4 linked regions of the Schizosaccharomyces pombe genome follow. Changing the gene in region 2 together with the main gene of any one other region gives a genetic interaction. Each region holds a gene or a part of one and is shown on either strand. Other genes may lie near its edges.

Region 1 (6,272 bases), on a different chromosome or scaffold from region 2:
GTTGGATCCATTTTGATGACCAACAACGCCATAAAAAAGACTAGTATTGGTATTATAAGCACTGTCTTCTGCATACTCAACCCATGCATCAAAAGTGCTATTACGACTTCCACTGCATCCCTCGCCAGTTGATGAGTTAAAAGTGTGGATGGAAAGGAAATCGAATGAGTTCTCAGAAATCGCCTTTGTAAGAGTATGATCAGGAACCATGCAAGTAGGAGCAGCAGAGATATAATATTTACGTCTTGGATCGGATGCATATATCTCAAGCATACGCTTTGCAAATGCAGAATAGGCGGTGTTAGTACCTTTGTTCACTTCTAAGTCAAAACCGTCTACAACGGCTTTACCGAATGGCCGGTATGAATCCTCACCACTTCCGAAAATGTTCCAAACTTGAAAAGCAAAGTTTGTCCCATCATCATCATTATTTAATGAAAAATTTCCATTGTACCCACCGATTGAAAGTAGCACTTTGATACCATTTTCTTGGCACACTTGAATATCGGTTTCTATTTGAGGGCACTTTTTCAGTTCGCTACCACTGAAGGTGTCACTGTCAGAACACAAATTGGAAAAATCGTAAACGGGCCAGCCGTCAACGTTGAAATCAATGACAGAAGAAAGAATTATAGCATCATAGGTGGTGTTTTGACAATAACTCGATAGTCTTTTTTGATCTCTATCACCCATTTTCCCTGCCAAGTTGGAACCCCAGTATCCGAGTACCGCAGTTTGGTTAGTGAGGTTTAAGCTTAAAGCTAACCGAGCCGAATAGACAAGCAGCAGTAAAGAAGATATTAACCGCATTTTGCTATGCAGGCGTGATAATAAGTTAAAATGTTAATATATCTAATAATGAAAATAAACCAAAAACAATAAAACCAGATTCAAAGTTAATCCAGGTTGGGAGAGTAAAAAAAACTGTGGTATCGTTATCTCGCACTGCGGTGTCTTTGCCTTAATTTGAGGCAATGAAGAGTAGTAAATACCAAGTTCCGTGACCGAGAGAATAATAAGATTATTTGCACAATTAACAGCTCGGTGTGTCCTTATATTACAGAGCCCAAACTTGGCGTTGGCGCCAGCCCTATGCTTTTATATCATATTCTAAATAAACAATACCAGCACGTGGTTGGCATAGCAACCACTGTTTGTAAATAAACAGCCTAGGTAAGGGAGAGGTAGCGAGGAATCGAATAGTCCAAAAGATCGTTTAGAAATTGTATTTCTTAAACTGCATTTTAAAGAATAGTATTCATATAAAATAGAATATTTTTTTCGCCCACTTGTTGTTCACCGCAAAGAGCTTTTGCAAATAGTTTAGTCTTTTCAACAGCTTAAACAGCAGCGGTTTGACTACAACATGGCAATAAACCCCAGCCATCTGTGCCCTTTATTCAACAGCTAGTAAACAAACACAAAGGCACTCAATGGCTGGTGCTCTGCATAGCCTCAAACATAAGTATGTTAGTTTTAACTGCTTCTTCAGAATAGTTCTTTTTAGTAAAAAAAGGACACAGATTCTCGATAAATAACTATTGAGCTTTTACATTATTCATTGATTAGTTTTCATCAGGGTAACGTTCAAGTTGACGCTTCTAAGCATTAGAAGTTATAATTGACGTAAAAAAATGGTGTCAAGTTGTAAGCGTTAATTTTTTAAGTTCGAATTAAAATATTTCGAATCATCACATCAAACCATTGTAGCAAATTTTGTCAAAGCTGTGTCGATGCTAGCCAAAATTGGCTTTCTACAATATTTGCTGCTAATCGTTATTATCGTTAACGAAGCGTACGACGACCAAAGTAGTGGTATTCTACCACGTATTTGAACTTGGCCTTAGCCAAATAGTAGTTTATGAACGATTGGATTACTCCATTAATTTCGATCTCTCTCAAATTCCTGAATCCCAGTCCTCTTTATTATGAAGTTTGGTGAAAGGTAGGTCGACATATTTTACACATTTTAGAATGTTGTTTAGACCTTCAAATAGCCGTTAAAGAATGCAATATTTGCAAAAAGTTTATTATGGTTAAGGCTTTTAATGTCTTGAATGTAACGGTTATGTTTGAGGATACGCATTTGTGTTGAATAGGAGTACGGGATTAATTAAGATGATCTGCCAGTAAACTCCTTTCCCTTCATTCTCATCATTTGCAACCGTATGACTAACCATTGTTTAAACTTTTCTTTTTCTTAGTTTATAATTGTTGGTTTGCTTTAGTCATTGTCTGCTAACCGACAGTCTTCAATTGGCGTTGATCCCGGAGTTTGCAGAACAGTATGTTGATTATAATGGAATAAAGCGAAAGATTCAACTGGTTGCTGCGCTTCCCGAGGATGAACGGAAGAAATTATTGAGGCGTAATAGTGACGGATCATGGCCAAAGGGATCGATCGACGAAATGTTGGAAAACGATCTTCAGAAGGTTGTTAACTTGTTCAATACTCGCATTGTCCAGCTTGATAATTATGTCACTCGTTTGTCTACGGAGAAATCTCCCAATACTGAAATTACACAGGCACTGTCTTCATCTTACGAAGCTGAAGAAAAGGCGAAGCAACTGAAAGAGCTAGACTTTCGTCTTCAACAATTATCATCCTTTTGTGAATGGAATAAGCTGGCCTTTGAAAAGCTAGCTGCCAATATGGATAAGCACCTTGGTACGGAGCGCTTGGTTACATTTTATGAGCAGAAGGTGTGTAAGCTTGATTTTGCGAATTCGTCCAAGATCTATGAGTCCATGATTGCCCTGAAGGCTTTGAATTCTTCTCAAAACGATAGTGAAGTGAAAGACAAGTTGGAAAAATTGTCAATTCACCATCCCTTGAAGAAGGATCTTTTAGCTTTTATTCAACTGGATATTGCCGCAGAGGTCGTGACCGCTTGTATAAATGCACCTGATAGTGTACTCGTAGATATACTGGCTGCCTCCATCATTGCGGGAGCCAAAGCTTGTATGCGTGAAGTTATAGGAAGAATTGGTTTACGTTCTGAGTGCCTGGCTTCTGCATTACGTCGTGCAATTAACAACCTCTGTGGTCCTGACGAAGGAGTTTTATATTTTTTGGAGGTGTTGAAACAAATTTGTTCAGTGGTTTATGTGGATTCATACCATTCTAATCGTTTACTTTCAAGGATTCTTCTTGTAGAACGAAATAGCAAGGGACAGAGTGTGATGCACTCTGTTGCGAAACTCGGTTGGGCAGGATTGTGCAGTAAGTTTTGTGAAATTGTTTCATCAATCCCTGACTCTGAGCCATTGAATTGGATGCTTCCATGTTGGCGCGATGTAATGCACGACACTCCCTTGACTTTGGCTATTAAGGGAAATCATGTTGAAGCTCTTCATGCTTTGCTTTCTGCTCAGGATAAGGAAACAACCTCTACCAAGCCGGGACCCGTTCCTCCTTTGGTCTTGACTTGCTGTGTAGGCGATTACGATTTGATCGTAGAAGAACTCATCCTTGCAGGATTCAATCCTAACGAAGTTGATGCTAGTAGCAATACAGCTTTACACACCGCTGTTCGTTATAACAGGCCGGAATGTGTTAAAATGTTACTCAAACTTGGAGCAAACCCTAGCGCAAGGGATTTTTTGAATTCATGGACTCCTTTGATGCTTGCATCAGCTACTGGACTTTCCGAAATTGTTTCAATTTTAGTTGCCTCGGGCGCTTCGGTTGACGAAGTTGATTCTTCAGGTTGGACTGCTATGGAACAAGCTGTGGTTCGGGGGTATTTACACCTAGCAGATAAACTTAGAACTCAAGTCGCCTTGAGTGATAAGCCTGTTAATTTACATACACTTTATATCAAAGCCTCAAGTTCCGAAATGAGGAGCAGAAAACGTGCCATGGATTTACAATTATCTCGTTCAGTGGTCATTATTCGAATCAGTGATTTGGCCGGTAGAATCCGCGTTAGTCTTCAAGGTGATGATGCTGTGTATGTTTCAGGGCGGTCTCCATCTTTTGCCGCAAGTAGACCATCTTCAGTAGATTTCATGTCTCAATCTACTGACTCGTTGAGTAAAAACGACACTACTGCTTCTAATGGCTCTATGACACCATCTTCTAGCCAAAACAACTCAGTGATTATTGATATCCCTCGCTCCCATTTTGATAATGCCGGTGAAGTTTGCTTAGAGAATTTGGCGGAGCCTGATGAAATTGCCGACGACTCTATTCATTTGCATTATGATGCCGCACAAGAAAATAGTCCGCAACCTGTAAACGGGTCTTCTCCACCGTATGAATTGGTTTTCGTTACAAGAAATACAGAAGAAGCAACTATTACAATTGATTTGTTAGCAAATCGATCCCATAAAATATTAGGGAGAACTGTATGTTGCTTGACTTCTCTGGTATCTGATTTGGGGAATCATATGCAGTCGTTGAAACCTTTGGCACCCTTACCATTACTTTCGAGTAAAACTCTTAAACCAATAGCTCATGTTAATGCGGATGTTCTTATTTCTAAGGTGACAGTTGATGATAGATTTTCGTCAAATGATGGCATAAGTACCCCTGCCTTATCGCTGGAAGCAGTTTCCAACGTAAGTCGCACTGCATTGGAAGACGCTGAGCGTTCTTTACACAAATCTGCCACAACTACATCAGAATCAGGGAAATCGAATGGTGTTGCGGTTATCGGACATCGTGGACTTGGTAAGAATCAGCCTGATCGTTTGAGTCTTCAACTTGGCGAGAACACTTTACAATCGTTTATAAAAGCGGCAGATCTTGGTGCTTCTTACGTTGAATTAGATGTGCAAATGACTAAAGACATGGTCCCAGTGGTATACCATGATTTTATCGTAAACGAAACCGGAACGGATGCACAAGTGCATTCGCTGACTTTGGAGCAATTCTTAGGGGCTTCCCACTCTCCTTCAGAAGAAATTAAAGATGATGCAAGTGACATTCAGCAGAAGAGACGTCCTAGGGCCTACAGTTCCTCATTTACACCTTCAGGATCACAGGTTAATTTCGGTGAATTTGCTGAAGAAAACGCACGTTTGAAGCCTAAAGTATATAAGGGTAATGCCCTTGGTCATACGATTTGTGCACCGTTCACAACTTTAAAGGATGTTTTGAAGGAAGTTCCACAATCCGTAGGACTTAATGTGGAATTTAAGTACCCCATGCTAAGTGAAGCTGAGGAAGAGAAATTGCTCCCTATAGCTTATGATTATAACTTTTACGTGGATACCATTCTATCGATAATCAAAAAGTATGGTGGTAAAAGAAAGTATATTTTCTCTAGTTTTAATCCTGATATATGCATCTTACTTTCTTTGAAATCGACTAATCCTGTTCTTTTTTTGACTGAAGGAGGTACCGCTTACCGAACAGACGTTCGTGCAGCATCGCTTAGACAAGCTTTAAAGTTTGCCTCACAGTGGAGTTTTCTGGGTATCGTTAGTGCTTGTGAACCGCTCATTATGTGCCCGAGGCTGATCAAGGCAGTTAAACAATTGGGTTTATCTTGCTACACCTATGGTGTTCTCAATAATGATGTTGACAATGTCCGACGCCAAGTACGTTTTGGAGTTGATGCTGTCATTGTAGACAATGTGTTAGCCATTAGACGTGCCTTGAACCAGTACGATGAAAGTTTGGAATCTGATTGATCTAGAAAGTTTGAACGAATACTACCGACGATATAGAAGATGAGGTGCTTTAGTTAGAAACCGATATTAGTTAATTTTTAGTTAGAAGAAAGTATATCATAAGAAAATTTCATAGATAGAAAAAAAAAGGAAAAAATATCATGATAACAATTAATGAAATACAAATAATGACCGATCACTATGGTGCATCACTGGATGCTTCTTTACATAAGAAAGTGTTATATATACGGCGCGATAAAACCGGACCTAAATTTCGTTCACTAATACTAGATTGGATGACAACGTTGGTTAATGATTCCTCGCCGTGAGTTTTTAGATGATGAATTAAAGATGGTATACTGTCAAATTGATCGCATATGGCGTTAGCAATGTTAGGTGTAACTCGTAGTATTTGCCGCAACATAAAATTTAGAGAGTTTTCAATTCTATCGGCGGATTTGACATGTCCTATTTCGGTAGTAGAGGCTCTAGCTGAAAATTTAGAAAAGTGCTTGTAACGAGATAAAGCTATGTCGCCGGTAAAGGAAACTATCCATTGAGCGGTTTCTTTTTCGTCATTTGAAGTGTTTATAAGAATACTATGTTCGAAACTGAAGCGGACGATTTCACTCTCTAACTTTTCTTTAGTAAAG
Region 2 (4,651 bases):
TTTTGGGTATGTATTTACGTTTGCCTGTCAAAGTTGGATCGATAGCCTTGGTACGGAGCGTACTTATATTTCAATCGGTGTATTGTGTTTCATTTTTATCGCCACCTCATTCCCAATGATTCTTTGCGGTAAAAGACTTCGCAAGTGGACCGCTAAGCAGTATTATACATTTTTAAACGTTCGTAATCGTTTAGACGAAAAAATTCCCGACCAAGATCGAAGAGGTCAGGATGGGGTTGAAAGTCGATAAGCTGGATTTCATTATAAGTTGTCGCTCTTTTGGGTCAATCCTTTATGTTCATCATGTCTATGTGTTTATTAGTCTAACAAAAGTGAGTTAAGTTATAGTGAAAAAAGTTTTTATTTTTTTATTCATAACAACAAGTAAGTAGGGATAATCACCACTTACAAGCGCTTTATATATAAAATTGAGCAACCATATGGGTTAGAATTATCAAGAAAAAATTAAGACTCTTAAAGTCCGTTAACGCCATAATGCAGATATTATAATTTTTTCAATTATTTAACAGTAAACACATTAAGCAACTAATATTCATGATTGGATGGATAAATCAGTACTATAACAGAGTAAGTAGTACTTAACAATTACGAAAAAAGATGAAGACGAAAAGGTAGCAAAAGATCAGTTGTCCTACCATATGTCTAATAGCCCTGACTTCCACTGAATATAAAAACACGGGCAAAATCAGCCGTCAATCATTATCAAACAAGGTATTTTGTAAAGTCAAAGTCAGATCAAACATTTGCAAATGAAGTTTGACTTTTAAATTTTTTAGATTTTTTGAAACACAACAAGGCAAAAGACTAGGTAGGCTTCCCGCATGATTTGTATTTAATAAGGGTACAATAAAAAAGAAAAGATTAGCATAAAATGATATGATGAAAAGAAAAGGTCGCACTCAGGAAAGGGCTAAGAAATTATTAATAAGCTTGATATACTCAATGCTGCGAATTACTTGAAAGCAGGAGGGCGGTCGGGTTCTTCCAGCTGCTCTGGCTCGTTTTTCTCGTAATTGTAAGGATTTCCATAACCAGCATCGATACAGGCTTGAATAAATCTCTTATCCTCATCCTCAATGCATGTCTGCTTAAGTTTTGGAACGAAGAGAAGGGCTAAAACAGCAACAAAGATAGCCATCGCACTTGCAGCATAAAAATAGTTGCGCACTTGATCACCACCAAAAGCGTAAACACCTGCAATAGCACCACACTTGCCAATAGCCGCAGCAATACCGTAGTAAACACCACGAATGGCAGTAGGAGAGGTTTTGGAAGCAAGCAAACCAATGTTGCCACCGGGACCGAATTCACCCAACGTTAAAAAAATACCGTAAATGACACAGAATCCGGCAATCTTGTGGACCAACTGGTTATAGAATCCGGACATGAAAAAGCCGAAAATGGATTGTAAGACAAGACCGGTGATCAAACAATATTTAGGACCAAGTAAATCAGAGAAAACACCTCCAAGTAAGGCACCAGGAAGGTAGAAGGTATTGATTAGAACATTCCAACCGAATGATCTAGCGGTAGAAGCATCGGCGGGTAAAACACCATCGACAATGGTACTGGAATACAAGCCAAATGCAAAGGCAGAGAGATCGTAGACAAACCAAATGAGGCAAAGAATGAACAAGCGGAAACCATACATTTTCAATACAAGTAGCCAAGGGATTTTAGTGAGGGGAACTTTATGTTTGACATAGGTTTTGGGATCCTTCATGGCAATACGGAAAGGGAGAAGAACGCAAGGAATCACAAGACCCAAGCCAATAGAGAGACGCCAGACAATACGCAGATGGTGTTCGCCAAAGATACAAACTAAAATATAGGGGACAAGAGCACCAACGACAAAACCAAAATCAATGGCACCGTCCGTAACAACGATAAAGGCAGCATGGCGCAAACCCGATTTCAGTTCGTTGGAAGACTCTGAAGCAGCCACGGAGCCACAAGGATACTCAGCACCAATTCCAATACCCAAGAAAAATCGATAAGCAATAAGGGCAGAAAGCATGCCATTGATACTGCCCTTGTAGCCGTAAGCACCCGTACACAGGGCTGTAGACACAATCAAAATAATTGTAGCGGTAATCATGCCATTCTTACGACCAAAGCGATCCGAATACCAACCAAATGACAATTGTCCGACAATGGTGCCGACATAAGCAATCATACCAATGTCCTGCAACGACTTATTGTGAGTGGTTTCCTCTGGGTAGAGTTTACGAAGGATAGTAATCACTGTACCGATTGAATTGGAGCAGTAACCATCAGACATCAAAGCAACACCGGCGACAGCAACGTTTAAGAAATGCTTCCATTGACTAGTTTCCCGTGAGCCACCCTCGATGTCGAACTCGGCTTCTTTTTCTGTTACATGAGCGCCTGAGGACTTGTCGTCCAACTTCTCTTCATCACTGCGATATCGAGTTACGGAAGCTTCAATTGGCTCTTCAACACTAGGTTCGCTAACCTGTCTAACTACTTCATCTTCGCCGTTGTCGACATATTTTGATTCATCCCAGCCACCAGACATTTTACGACCAGTTTTGAAGACTTTTATTTTTTTTTTCACACTGAAATTTCTAGCTGGCAAGCCTGCCACCTTAAATACCTACACGGTAAATGTCAAGTCTGCTAATGAACAATGCAAAAATTTCCTCCTTTCTCAAACACACTCGCTACAGATAGATTTACTGCCGACTTACAAGTCTCGAATAACACAACCAATGACGCTTTCACACTTTGACTTACTGATTTGAATGTCCGAAGGAAAAAGCGATTTATTCGTAAGTTCATTTTAGCAGGCCCCTGTCTTAATTTTAACACAGTTACTTGAGTCTATCACCACCACATTGCTCATGAATACTGTAAAAGTGACATCTTTGAGTTGGCATTTGCCGATGCATCCCTTGTCGCATTTTCTCTCTTGAGACCCAGGCTGGTATTACGATTTGGCAACCTCATCCTGTGGGACAAAAGTTAACGAAACCTTGATAATGACCACATGCCGTTTAACCCAAGGAATTCTCTTCCCGTGTAGGGATAATTGGTTTGTCAGACAAATGTCCTACACATGAGGCAACCATGCCGTATCAGCAAAGCAAAAAATGAAGTAATAGAATTGGTTGAAGTAGATTATAGTATTTCTAAGATTAACCACCATTAAATCACTCACAATTCGTTCAATTGTATGCAAACCAAGGCCCAGGCTGTACAATCATCCTGACCAGATAAACTGTCACATTTCATCGTCATTCGTGTGAAAGATAAAACATGACAGTCACGGAGTCGATATTTTGTGTAGTTGAGGGTGACAAACAACGGACGGCAAAGGAAAAGAAAAAAAAATAAAAATAAAAACGTTTTATTCTTGGAAGCAGTTTAAATTGAGTGAGTGCAAAAAATTCATTAGTGCAAAACGTACCATAGATGCAAAAACGATCTAGTAAAGTGCAAAACAATATAGTGAAATGCAAATAAAGATATAGTCAATGCAAAAAATGATTAGACCATGCAAAACGTTGAAATGCATGCCCGAGTTTAGTTTCGTTTGAGATAGTTTTAAGGGGGTTGTTTGAATATGCAGACAAAACGACTCGTTCTGCCAACATCAAGGATGAGTGAATTCATAATATTCACTCTCCCTTGGGTTCATTTGATTAAATTTGATATGACACTTTCATCTTTCACATCACACAGTCAGTATGTGAGTGCAGCATTTAAAAAAATTTCACTTCGTAAAACTATGATAAAGTCGACAATCCGAGCATTCTATGCGTATTTCGTTAAACAATAGAAGCAACAAGATTGGTATGCATAGTCAGTCTAGTCAATTCAATTCAATTCATTCGAATAAACTATAGGAACGAAATGAATATCATAAACAGAGATTTTGTGTAACAATGTATATTAAAGAGATAAACACATTAAACTTTTAATCTAAAACACAACACAAAATAGAGGGCATCCTCGACAATGCCTTGCTTCAACAAACCCTCATCACACAAACACATACAACTCCCATCCATCAATAGATGCACACGATTCACAAATCAATGTATGTATATCCATGCGATCCATTGCATCAAGGAGGAATGATGGAATGCATGAATGAATGAATGGAAGGATGAAAAAATAAGGAATTGAAGAAAGGAATTACTCATTAAAATTAAAACAATGAAAAAAAAATGATTTAATTCTTGTTGCTTACTATATTCATTTTGTTTTTGATTAGATTTGTATGTTAATGATTTTTGAATAAAAATGTTGTTAGCCAACTTTTCATTTTAACCATGCACACATGCACACAATGCTATTGCCTTTGGCGACTGACCTCAAACCAAACAGCAAAGCAAAAATTGCCCAAGAGAAAAATAGAATAAAATTTAAAAAGTTTCCATATTTGGATATGGGTACCCTGTATATATATGTATGGCGACTCCTCAGACCAATTTTGTGACTGTTTCTTTTGAGTCACAATTTTGACTGAAAGGGAGTAAAGCACGCAAACATGACATTCCTCAGCTCAGACGGAATGTGGCCCGATGTAAAGTAAAGAGGGTTCAGGGATTGCACGTTACCAATATTGTTTCGATACAGACGTGTGGATTGCAAGTCTCAGGAC
Region 3 (5,644 bases), on a different chromosome or scaffold from region 2:
GACAATAGAGGACTAGCGACCTGCTTGACAACTTCTGCACCGGCACGACGAGCAGTGTGCTCTGTCGTAGATGCAGCAAGTCGAAAGTTATCAAGGGTATAATCCTCCTTCAGCTGATAGCTGGAGCCAATGACAAAACGAAGCTTCTCAATGGGAATATTCAACGATTTTAGAATAGATTTGACAATAATTTCATAATAACGAACACGGTGTTGAACGAGTTCCATCGGCGCCTTCATGTTATCCAAAAAAGCATGGACATCGGCTAAAAGAACAGTAACATGTACACCGGCCTTTAAAAAATCAGCCAACTTCATCATTGGCACAAAATAACCACAATGAGGACGGCCAGTAGGTGCACTGCCCCAGTACAAGCTGATATCGCGTTCATTCAAAATTTCGCGAATCATTTTGGCGCCAAGCACCTCTTGAAGATTACGAGTAATCAACTCATATTTTTCATCCGGAGTAAGCGACATCTTGCTTGATATCCAACGTTAAATGGAACTCACAAAAATTGGTGATGTTGGTTAACGATGTTTTCGATTGCAATCATGGACTGCGATCAACGTTCGGAATTGCCGCGGCACCGTGACTGCAACCCGAACAACAAATTATTCAGACAAAATTATTAACCAAGGTTTAATAAATAATTTGGTTTAATTATGTGCAATTACTAATAAAATATCGTTTAAAAAATGTTTATGTTATCAAAACATTCGTAAAAAGGGTAAAAGCGGTTAATTAATGTTAACAGGAATAAACCTTTTGGGAAGATGAACTGAGTTGCAGAGGTCCTCGGTTTTCGTTATAAACTGCTGAAGGTCTAAATGTCTTGTAAGCGACCTGCGAGGTGAAACGCTAATACAGTGTTTAGCATCAAGATTCATATCCAATGGACATTGGGCATAACAACCTGGTGAGAGTGTGATACGAACAGAAAATTCCTTATTTCCTGAAGGATTAGTCCTCTCGAATAACTCAAAGCATATTTGAGTGAGATAATCTAATTCGGGAATTTGATTTCTAGGTAATTTCATAGGTAGTCCTGATTCAAGTATACAATTAAGCAAGGTATAGATATGAGACTCTTTAGTAAAGTACATTCTTGTTGAAGCATGATCAGAATCTCGTGCCTCTTTAATGTCATGTATGATTTGACGAAGCAACGGTACACTTGTTAATAAACCAATTTCTAACTTTTCTTTCGGTTCTATACCATATTCTTGAGGAGAAACAAAATCAAATAATACTTTTGCTAAATCGTATAGCTCATACAACTTTTCCAACGGCCTTTCAGTGTGATTAGTATTTGCACCGGTCATCCCAACAAGATTGCCATTGCTATCGGTTCTTTGGGGAGGCTCTTTGGCAATCAAGCTTGGACTCTGAGGCAATTTGAGATACTGATAGGGAGTAAATATGCGTTCCAAAAATTGCCGATTGTGAAGAGCATCATACTTCAATGTATCGTATAGTTCAGAAACCTTGGATGGGTCTGCTTTCTCAGAGTCACAAAATTCGCTAAACAACTTCTCCCACCTTTCCCTAAAGAGCGCAGGATTTTCATTACAACACCAACGCGATTGAACTTGCTCAACCTCAGGTCCCAAAATAATAAAATTCTCTCTCATTACTGCGCGATGATATTTCATGAGTTGAACAACTTGTTGCATTACTTCACAAGGCTTGGGCATGTTTTCTGGCCAAGTAAACTCCTTTCTAGCCGTATCTCCAACTCTTAATAATGATTTCAAGTGTTTCTTAACCTTATCCATAGTATCCTTGGCAGCATTAGAATCATCTAACAGATCTTTGCGAACTTTGAGTAAGTCGCTAGGAATAGTTTCTTGCTCCAAAAAGGCCATTGCAAAAATTTCAGCAGAAGCAGAGACACGTCTTTCAGAAGATGTGTATATTTCGACATCTTTCAGGCAATCACGATTCATAATATACAGGTCCTTATGAAACTGCTCTCCTAAATCCTTAGATTGGTATCTCGCGGAATGAGTAAATTCACCACCCCATTTGATAATTAGCTGCAGTTTCAAAAGCTTTCCCTCTGGGGAATAAGCCGGTTTAAGTTGCACTTTTGTCCCCGGTAAGTCTTTCTTCGTTTCCAAAGCTAAGCGTAACTGTTTTAACTTGTTGATATCTTCGCATTTGAGTTCTGTAGCAAGGTTGGTAGCTGCCAAAACAGAATTGAGTTGTTCGTTTCTTAAAATAACTTCCTCGGTATGACCTTGCAATAATTTTACAAATGGATCAGATGTAAATGAAAACTTAAACTTTTGTTTAGGTGTACGATCCGCGTGACGCAGGACTCCGACCAAACTTTTAAGTCTCCATGCCTCACTTTCTCTAGGCGGAGGATTTAAAACTTCTTGGACTGAAGGTACACGATTCCGTCTATGACGTTCGGCAACATGAAACATTTGTTTCAAAATTCGAGCAGCATTATCATAATAATCGTTGTTATCCTTGACGAAGGACCATCCATTCACATCAATCACATACGACTGACCTGAGACACGAAGAAGATCAAATCCACAAACAGGTTGCTCAAACGCAATTGATATCTTAGAGGCCATATTTTTTTCTTCCTCTGAAAGATTGGTGATAAACCTAATTTCCTTACCATGTGGATTCCTTCTCACAATTCCGTCCACTACGGGTGATTTGCGGGTTTCTGCATGGCTGTAATGAGGACCCACGGTATAAACCTTTACGTCTTCCGCGTTATCGACATTCATGAATTCCTCGTAAATAAAAGATCCTTCAGTGCGTGGAGCACAAAGATCTGGATCATAATCTGAAGACTTATTTGCGACTTTACGAAATAATTTGCGACCTCCCCCACCAACGGATTTAGGGAAATAAATATAAATATTGTGATCTTCACCATAGACTGGTTTTTCAACGTACGGCTTCTTTATTATCTTGCCATCAACAGAAAGAGTATCTTCGTCCAACATTTTTACTTCTGGGGTAGGAACCTCTGTGATTTCTATTCCAAACTTTCGACGCAACTTTTCTTCTAGGACTTTATTAATTTTAGGACCTCCATCACGAGAGCAAATCAAACGCTGAGGGGTGGAAACACGTATGGCATCAAGGATGTTCAACACAAGCCGTCTATCCCAAAGCAACTCTTGGAATACTACATCGTTTACACAAAAAGGTTTACGCAACTCGACATACTTTTCAGCTTTCTTCAATGGAAATCCACTAGAGTAGAAACATATCAAATAATCACAAGCAGGCCAATTTTCCACAGCTTCGTCCAAAATCATGTTGTCACCGAATACTATGGCTTCAAACTCACCTTCTGCGATGATTCTGTTCAGAATATTCCGACATGGTTTTGAGCGAGCTTTGGCATCCATGGCACAGATTCCAACTACATTTCGTTTAGTAGGTGTAACGATTGAGGAAACAGGCGACGCCGTTCTGGTAGATGACTCTGTGTCGATAGATGTAAGATGACTTGCATTTTGAATCATCCTTTATTATTCAACTACGTTAAAATATTTAATAACGCTTAAAACACCTTTTTCCCACTTGTATTCTTTCAATGGCCAATTCCCTCACTTGTTTGGTTATGAGAGATGTAGGTACACGGTGTTAGTACACACCTAGTCGATCAATGTTACTTGTACGGTTAACCTTACAATTCAGCGAGGTAACATTTGTTTACCTAACGAAATGTAAATAAATAAGAAATTGTTGCTTAAATGAAGTGGACAGTGAATATTGAATTTGTTTCGCAGTAATGCTTCTATGAATAACTTTTTTACTAATTATACTGGGTTAGTTAATTTGGGTTTTCATAAAAATTTTTTTAACCAAGCCCAGTTTCTGTTATTCTTCTTTCAAAAACGTATTCTTCCAGTTTAGTAAAAGCTTGTAAAATCCATCAATATTAAATTAAAAAAGAATTAGAAAAAATTTTTGTTTAATAGGTTTTTACTTTTCGTCCGTGCGAAAACACGTGGACTGGAATGTTTAAATTTTACAAGCAACAAACATTAAAAAATTACTTCTACTAGCTGGGTTCAAGAGTATATTGTTCTCGCACCTTTTACATAAAGAAAAATATTTTTTAAGAATTTACTGAAATTTATTTCATTATTTACAAGCCCAGAATTCCAACAATCATAGATTTACCTTACCACTTTTTGATATATGTGAATAGAGTTCTTTAGGTATTCTGAAGAGAATGTAGAAGTTTTGCTAACATGTTTTTACGATTAAATCTTACAATAACATTAGACATCAATGTTTAGTTCTCTTTTTTTTTTAATAATAAATAATTTGTTTACTTAAATAAACGGAACAATAGCAGAACGATTCTTATTTATAATTACCGAAAATTGATATATGACGGATTGACCATATCGTTAAACACATTTATCGATTTCAGTAAATACACTGTCGTAAATTAACGATTATTACTGTAGGTCGTAAAGGGTTGCTAGAATTTCACAAACACTGCTTTTTGCAAGTTACAGGACAAGAGCCATCCTTTGCCATTTTACGTGCTATTTGTGTTCTTTCCTGTGATAAAATGCCATTTGCAGAGAAGAAACGGAGGACTTATGAAAATGCGGTGAAGCCTCTAAGAAAATCTAGGATCTATGCTCGTAAGTCAAAATTCTCTCTTTTTCTTTTGGAATGAACAGATTGCTAACTGTATTTTTAGCCTTTAGATCCATCGGTCACGTTTCCAATGCAGTACCTTTCGACATTGAGGCTCGTGGAACCCATTTTTTGGTAACAACGTCGGTGGGAAACACATTTCAAACATATGACTGCGAAAAGTTGAATTTGCTTTTCGTTGGCAAGCAATTAGACAAGGAAATTACTTGTTTAAAATCCTTTAAAGATTTCATGCTTGTAGCTGCCGGATCAAAAATTTTTGCATATAAACGTGGTAAAATAATATGGGACATTGATGTGGAGCAAGAACATGGAACAGTCACTCATTTAGATGCTTTTGGTGAGTGGATTATTGCTTGTACATCTTCTCGTCATGTTTATGTATGGAAACACGCTTCTAAATATAGTGTTCCTGAGCTTCATACTACATTTCTTCCTAATACCAATGCAGATATCACTAGTTTACTACATCCAAGCACTTATTTGAACAAAATACTGCTAGGATTCTCAGATGGAGCATTACAGATTTGGAATTTGCGTGTTTCTAAACGTGTACATGAATTTCAGGAATTTTTTGGTGATGGAATCACTAGTTTAACACAAGCCCCTGTCCTCGATGTTTTAGCTGTTGGTACTATTAGTGGTCGTATTGTAATCTTTAATCTTAAAAATGGTTCAATACTCATGGAATTCAAACAAGATGGCCAAGTTCTTTCATGTTCATTCCGTACTGATGGGACACCAATATTAGCTTCTTCCAACCCCATTGGTGACCTTTCTTTTTGGGATCTTTCAAAGCGAAGAATTCAAAATGTTACATATAATGCTCATTTTGGGTCACTTCCAAAGATACAGTTTCTTAACGGGCAGCCCATATTAGTAACTGCTGGTCCAGATAACTCTCTTAAAGAATGGATCTTTGATTCAATGGATGGTGCTCCTAGAATCCTACGTTCTCGTAATGGTCATTACGAGCCACCTTCAT
Region 4 (5,150 bases), on a different chromosome or scaffold from region 2:
TCAAACGGCTTCAACCATTCCGGTTCTTCAAAGTCTTGAGGAGGATTGGCCCAGTTATAATTAGGAATTGCTTGCTCGAATGGACGCTTAGTACCGTTAGGCTCATAAGAAAATGCGGTATTTTTTAAAGCAATGTTTTCAGAAACAGTGTTGTAAAGCGGTGGGTTATAGGCAGGAAACGTGGTTTGTTTCGACTTGTATCCGGTGGAAATTGATTTACGAACCCGCATTCCCACGTCCATTAAGGAGCCTTGAATGCTTTCGGGAAGCTGAGGACGCATTGAAGACTCAGGCTGCTCAACATGAGTCTTTGTGGTCATAACTCGCTTGCTGCTGTGCATTTTTTCCAAAATAAATTGTCGACGAACCTTTGTGTAGTGTTTGGTTGTGGGAGCGTTTGCTACTCGGCTTTGTGACGTTTAAAGCAGTCAAATTTGTCTGGGGAATGCCTATCGAACACGGATCTCTTTACATTTCACTAACCCACGTTATTCATAAATGGTAGAAAATCTACAAAATTTGGAATTGCAGTTTTATTGCTTTTGCGATTGAGATCTTGTTTTCTTGTGGTTCTGCCACTTTTTCCGCACTCTTTATATCTAAGAGTTAAAGTAAAACATTTAAAGCAATTAAATTCGCTTTCTCTTTTATTGCCAACTGCTTTCAAGGTAACAGCTGAAACGTTTGTTCGTTAAATTTGGTCAAACCTTTTGCAAAGCTTGAAATCGCTTCTTCCTTTGTTCTTCACATGTTGTCTCATCGTAACTTGGCCCCTGTTCGGTATGGTTTTCTTATTAACTTTACTGGCACCGTCGTGCCATGAAGGACAAGTAGCTGCATATAGATTGTAGTAAGTATAGCTTGAGTTAAAGACCTTTTAAGATAAGATACACATATATAAACATATGGAATAGGTTTATCTTTTTTTCTTAGCCTTTATTTTTGTTTAATAGCTTTTTAAAATTAACAATGACTAATGCTCTGACAAAATTTTAGCATTATTTCAATTTCGCCAATGTATATATTATGTGTTTAAACAATATTAACAAAAGTGGTTGGGTTTGAAGAAATAAAGAATCTACCTAGAATTAACAGGATGAGCATTTTCAAAATAAAATGACTTTATTACATACATTCCTAGTTTCTTTCTTTACCGATTCTCAAACTTCTGTTTAATTACTGCTTCAATAGATGCAGGTAGATGATGATTTTACATTAATAAGACCAAGGGAACAAAAAGAATACCAAATATAATTCAATACCACATGCTTGGATTTGTAAATTGAACATATTGTAAACTTACTTGTTCTGGGTCTATCCAGTATGAGCACGCTGACTGCCTCACTCAAAATATTCGTTGAAAAAGCTTTTCTTATTCATTCATTGTTGATAATTAGTGTCTATCTTTGCGTACCATATGTTTTTTGGATAAACAACCTACTACAGTTACATAGTATGATTGATATTATTAATTCAAAGATATTCGCTACATAAGGCGCCGAGTGTAAAAAACAGAGTGAATTTTATTACACTAACAGTGTTATTTCTTCAACAACTATTATGGAATTTCTGGAAAAGAATGGCATTCAAATGTTGCGCGTGATGGTGATTTTTTGTAGATGCTTGAATGAAATGAAAGTAAAGATTTTAAAGCCTTTTCTTTTAATAGGTTTCTTTAATATTTAACACTAAAGTCAAGAGTTGTCGTTTACACTCCGGTACTGTGAGCCCCTACGAGGATTCCGCGAGTAAAGAAGGAACGCCGCCAACAGCCACAACTTCTTCCTTGAGACAATTTCCTGATCTCACTGTTTCTTTGACACGAAACTTTGAAACGTTAGAAGATCTATATGTTACGCATCGAGATATTTTCGGAAATTTTCTAAAAAGAAGATTTTCGGTGAAATTTCAGCTGGTCTTCTTTCTATTGTTTTGGCTTCCTTCGGCAATTACTTTTTGTTCAATAAAACTGTAGATTTTTTAACTTTCTCTTTCTTTTTGTCCATTATCATACAATGCAGACGGCATCATCTCTTTCTGTTTTAACTCCTTTGAATGAGGAAAACGTTGATAGGAAGTCTTCTTGGTCAAAAGACACAATCGCTGTCCAGGCAGTCGGTTCATCACCATCTTCTTCGTCATCTCATGATTTCGAAAGTAAAGAGGATGCCGAAGGGATGAATAAAGACGAAAGTGCTCCTTCCCCTTCTACGTCCTCGCCATCGTCTGCATCCTCTCGGTCTCAAAGCAAATATGTTAGAAAAGAGGCACTTCCTCCTCAACTTTTTCATCACCTGGATTCTGCGAAAGATAAGGCGCTAACTACGTTCGAAGAGATTCAAGAATGTCAGTATGCTTCCGCCAATATTGGTAAGCCTCCAGAAAACGAAGCTATGATTTGCGATTGTCGGCCTCATTGGGTAGATGGAGTTAATGTTGCTTGTGGGCACGGATCCAATTGTATTAATAGAATGACTTCTATAGAGTGTACGGACGAAGATAACGTTTGTGGACCATCCTGTCAAAACCAACGCTTTCAAAGACATGAATTTGCAAAGGTGGATGTTTTCTTAACCGAAAAGAAAGGGTTTGGTTTGCGCGCTGATGCCAATTTACCCAAAGACACATTTGTCTACGAATACATTGGAGAAGTTATACCTGAACAAAAGTTTCGTAAACGTATGCGACAATACGATAGTGAGGGAATTAAACACTTTTACTTCATGATGCTGCAAAAGGGGGAATATATTGATGCTACTAAAAGGGGGTCGCTCGCAAGATTTTGCAATCACTCTTGTAGACCTAATTGTTATGTTGATAAATGGATGGTAGGAGATAAGCTAAGAATGGGTATATTTTGTAAAAGAGATATTATTCGCGGTGAAGAGCTTACTTTTGACTATAATGTCGATAGATATGGTGCACAAGCCCAACCTTGTTATTGCGGAGAACCTTGCTGTGTAGGGTATATTGGCGGAAAGACGCAAACTGAGGCTCAATCGAAACTACCTGAGAATGTCCGAGAGGCTCTTGGTATTGAAGATGAAGAGGATAGCTGGGAAAACATCACTGCACGTCGACAACGTCGTAAAAAGGGAATTGACGAAACTAGCAAAATTATTGAAGAGGTGCAACCTACTCCTCTGACATCTGAGTCTGCTACTAAAGTGATTGGCGTTCTCCTGCAAACTAAGGATGACTTATTAACAAGAAAGTTAATGGAACGCATTTTCTTGACTTCAGATCCTAGTGTATGCCGTTCGATCATTGCGTTACGTGGTTACAACATTTTTGGTTTGATGCTGAAGAAGTTCAGCATTGATATTGAGTTTATACTACGTTCTATAAAAACCATGTTATCTTGGCCACGCCTAACAAGAAATAAAATCCAAGATTCAAATATTGAGCCCGTTGTTCAAGAGTTTTGCGACCATGAGAACGAGGAGGTCAAAGATCATGCCAAAACTCTTTTAAAAGAATGGGAATCTTTGGAGATAGCTTATCGAATTCCCCGAAGGAAGCCTGGTCAAGTTGCTCCACAGTCAACGAACGCAGAACCCTCCAATAATCAAAGTAATCCTCCTTTAAGGGATCAGGAACCACAACGTGGCGATAAGGGAGATATAAAATCTGCAATCAATAATTCAACAGAAGATTTGAGCAAGAAACATCCAGCATTACATTCTTCTAGGCCTAGTGATAGTCGTTCACGTTCCAAGTTTGGAAATGACTATCAAAGCCATTCAAAACACAACCTTTTTCGTAAAAATTCTTTCCCTAAACGTCGTCGTCTTTCTAACTCTGACACTCCTTCTGAAACAACTACACCAAATAATGAGCAAGAACAAGTCAGCAATCAAGCTAATAAAGTAGATTTAAACAAGATTATTTCAGCGGCAATGGAGAGTGTCAATCAGAAAAATGTGTTGAAGGCACAGAAGGAGGAAGAAGAAAGAATAGCTCAGCAGAAAAGAGAAGAAAAGAGACGTCTTGCTTACGAAGAAAGTTTGAAAAGACATGCCAAAAAGTTGCATGAAAAGAAGACGAAAAGCTCTCAGGATGCCACAATTGATCATCATTTAACTTCGCATAGTCCTGAAAGCATTGCTTTTAAGGCAGTTTTGGCAAAATTTTTTGCTAACAAAACAGCTAGATACCAAGAGAAGCTTGGTAAAGCTGAATTTAAATTGAGAGTAAAGAAAATGACTGAAATTATCTTGAAAAAGCATATTCAGTTAGTTCTATCCAAAAAAGAAAAAGCTTTACCAGATGAATTATCAGACTCTCAGCAGCGAAAGCTGAGAGTTTGGGCATTTCGATATTTGGACACAGTTGTATCGCGTTCTGGCACTGCGACTACAACTCCTACAGATTCACCCAGTATTGGCGAATCCCCGAAAAAAGCTGCTTAATCGCCAGTATTTTTAACTGCGACAAGTAGCAACGTCTACCATACTATAGTTCCAAATATTGCATGTCTTTAATACCTGGTGTCTAGTTTTTTTTTTCTTCCTTGATGTAATATTTTAATACTATTTTTTTTTTTAAATACAATCTTTAATTTCCAGACATAGAAGCCGTATTTGTGTCTAAATGCACGTCGACTGTTTACAACATTTCATCTAATTATATAACCCTGGACTGGACCGGTATAGCATTTTGATTAATAGGTTAATATTTAGCTAATTAAATTCCATGCAAAAATTGATGTACTATTAGGTTAAGTAATTTTTAATAAAACGGGTTAACGAAACTTTAGCTATACACACACCATTTATTCTTCTAATAGCCATGAAACCATTTCTCTTGAGTTACCCTTAAGGTCCATTTGTTTAGTTGGCCGAGTTTCTCCACCTGAAATAACCACTTTTTGTACTTCCTCCTTTTCTTTAGCACGTATAACAATCCGTTCTTCAATGGTTCCACGAGTAATAAATCTGTAAACGGTGACTTGTTTTTGCTGACCGATACGATGAGCTCGATCCATGGCTTGACTATCAATACTAGGATTCCAGTCTGAATCATAAAAAATAACAGTATCAGCGGCAGTTAAGTTAATACCCAAACCACCTGCCCTTGTTGAAAGTAGAAATACAAAGAGTTCGGGCCGTGTTTGCCATTCTGTAACCATATCTCGACGTTGACTAATT

The links.
Region 1: mutations in tgp1 (region 2) and gde1 impair growth when combined (synthetic growth defect), as found in Schizosaccharomyces pombe (one study listed by BioGRID).
Region 3: of tgp1 (region 2) and asp1, changing one suppresses a phenotype caused by changing the other (phenotypic suppression), as found in Schizosaccharomyces pombe (one study listed by BioGRID).
Region 4: of tgp1 (region 2) and set2, changing one suppresses a phenotype caused by changing the other (phenotypic suppression), as found in Schizosaccharomyces pombe (one study listed by BioGRID).

Annotation. Positions count from the first base shown.
Region 1 is NC_003424.3:3,291,702-3,297,973, forward strand, and holds gde1 (glycerophosphoryl diester phosphodiesterase Gde1), read left to right. Parts: upstream 1-1,845; 5' UTR 1,846-1,928; coding exon 1,929-1,945; intron 1,946-2,249; coding exon 2,250-5,640; 3' UTR 5,641-5,751; downstream 5,752-6,272. Other genes in the region: cts2 (chitinase), read right to left, coding at 1-810; Holliday junction resolvase subunit Eme1, read right to left, coding at 5,819-6,272.
Region 2 is NC_003423.3:349,810-354,460, forward strand, and holds tgp1 (plasma membrane glycerophosphodiester transmembrane transporter), read right to left. Parts: upstream 2,603-4,651; 5' UTR 2,561-2,602; coding exon 974-2,560; 3' UTR 501-973; downstream 1-500. Other genes in the region: SPOM_SPBC1271.10C (transporter), read left to right, coding at 1-250.
Region 3 is NC_003421.2:570,970-576,613, forward strand, and holds asp1 (inositol hexakisphosphate kinase/inositol pyrophosphate synthase), read right to left. Parts: upstream 3,604-5,644; 5' UTR 3,504-3,603; coding exon 741-3,503; 3' UTR 501-740; downstream 1-500. Other genes in the region: tyrosine--tRNA (Tyr) ligase Yrs1, read right to left, coding at 1-479; U3 snoRNP-associated protein Utp21, read left to right, coding at 4,568-4,643, 4,703-5,644.
Region 4 is NC_003424.3:5,407,680-5,412,829, reverse strand, and holds set2 (histone lysine H3-K36 methyltransferase Set2), read left to right. Parts: upstream 1-1,764; 5' UTR 1,765-2,015; coding exon 2,016-4,412; 3' UTR 4,413-4,650; downstream 4,651-5,150. Other genes in the region: spd1 (ribonucleotide reductase (RNR) inhibitor), read right to left, coding at 1-341; SNF2 family ATP-dependent chromatin remodeller Ino80, read right to left, coding at 4,775-5,150. UniProt on the Schizosaccharomyces pombe protein: Histone methyltransferase that trimethylates histone H3 'Lys-36' forming H3K36me3. Involved in transcription elongation as well as in transcription repression.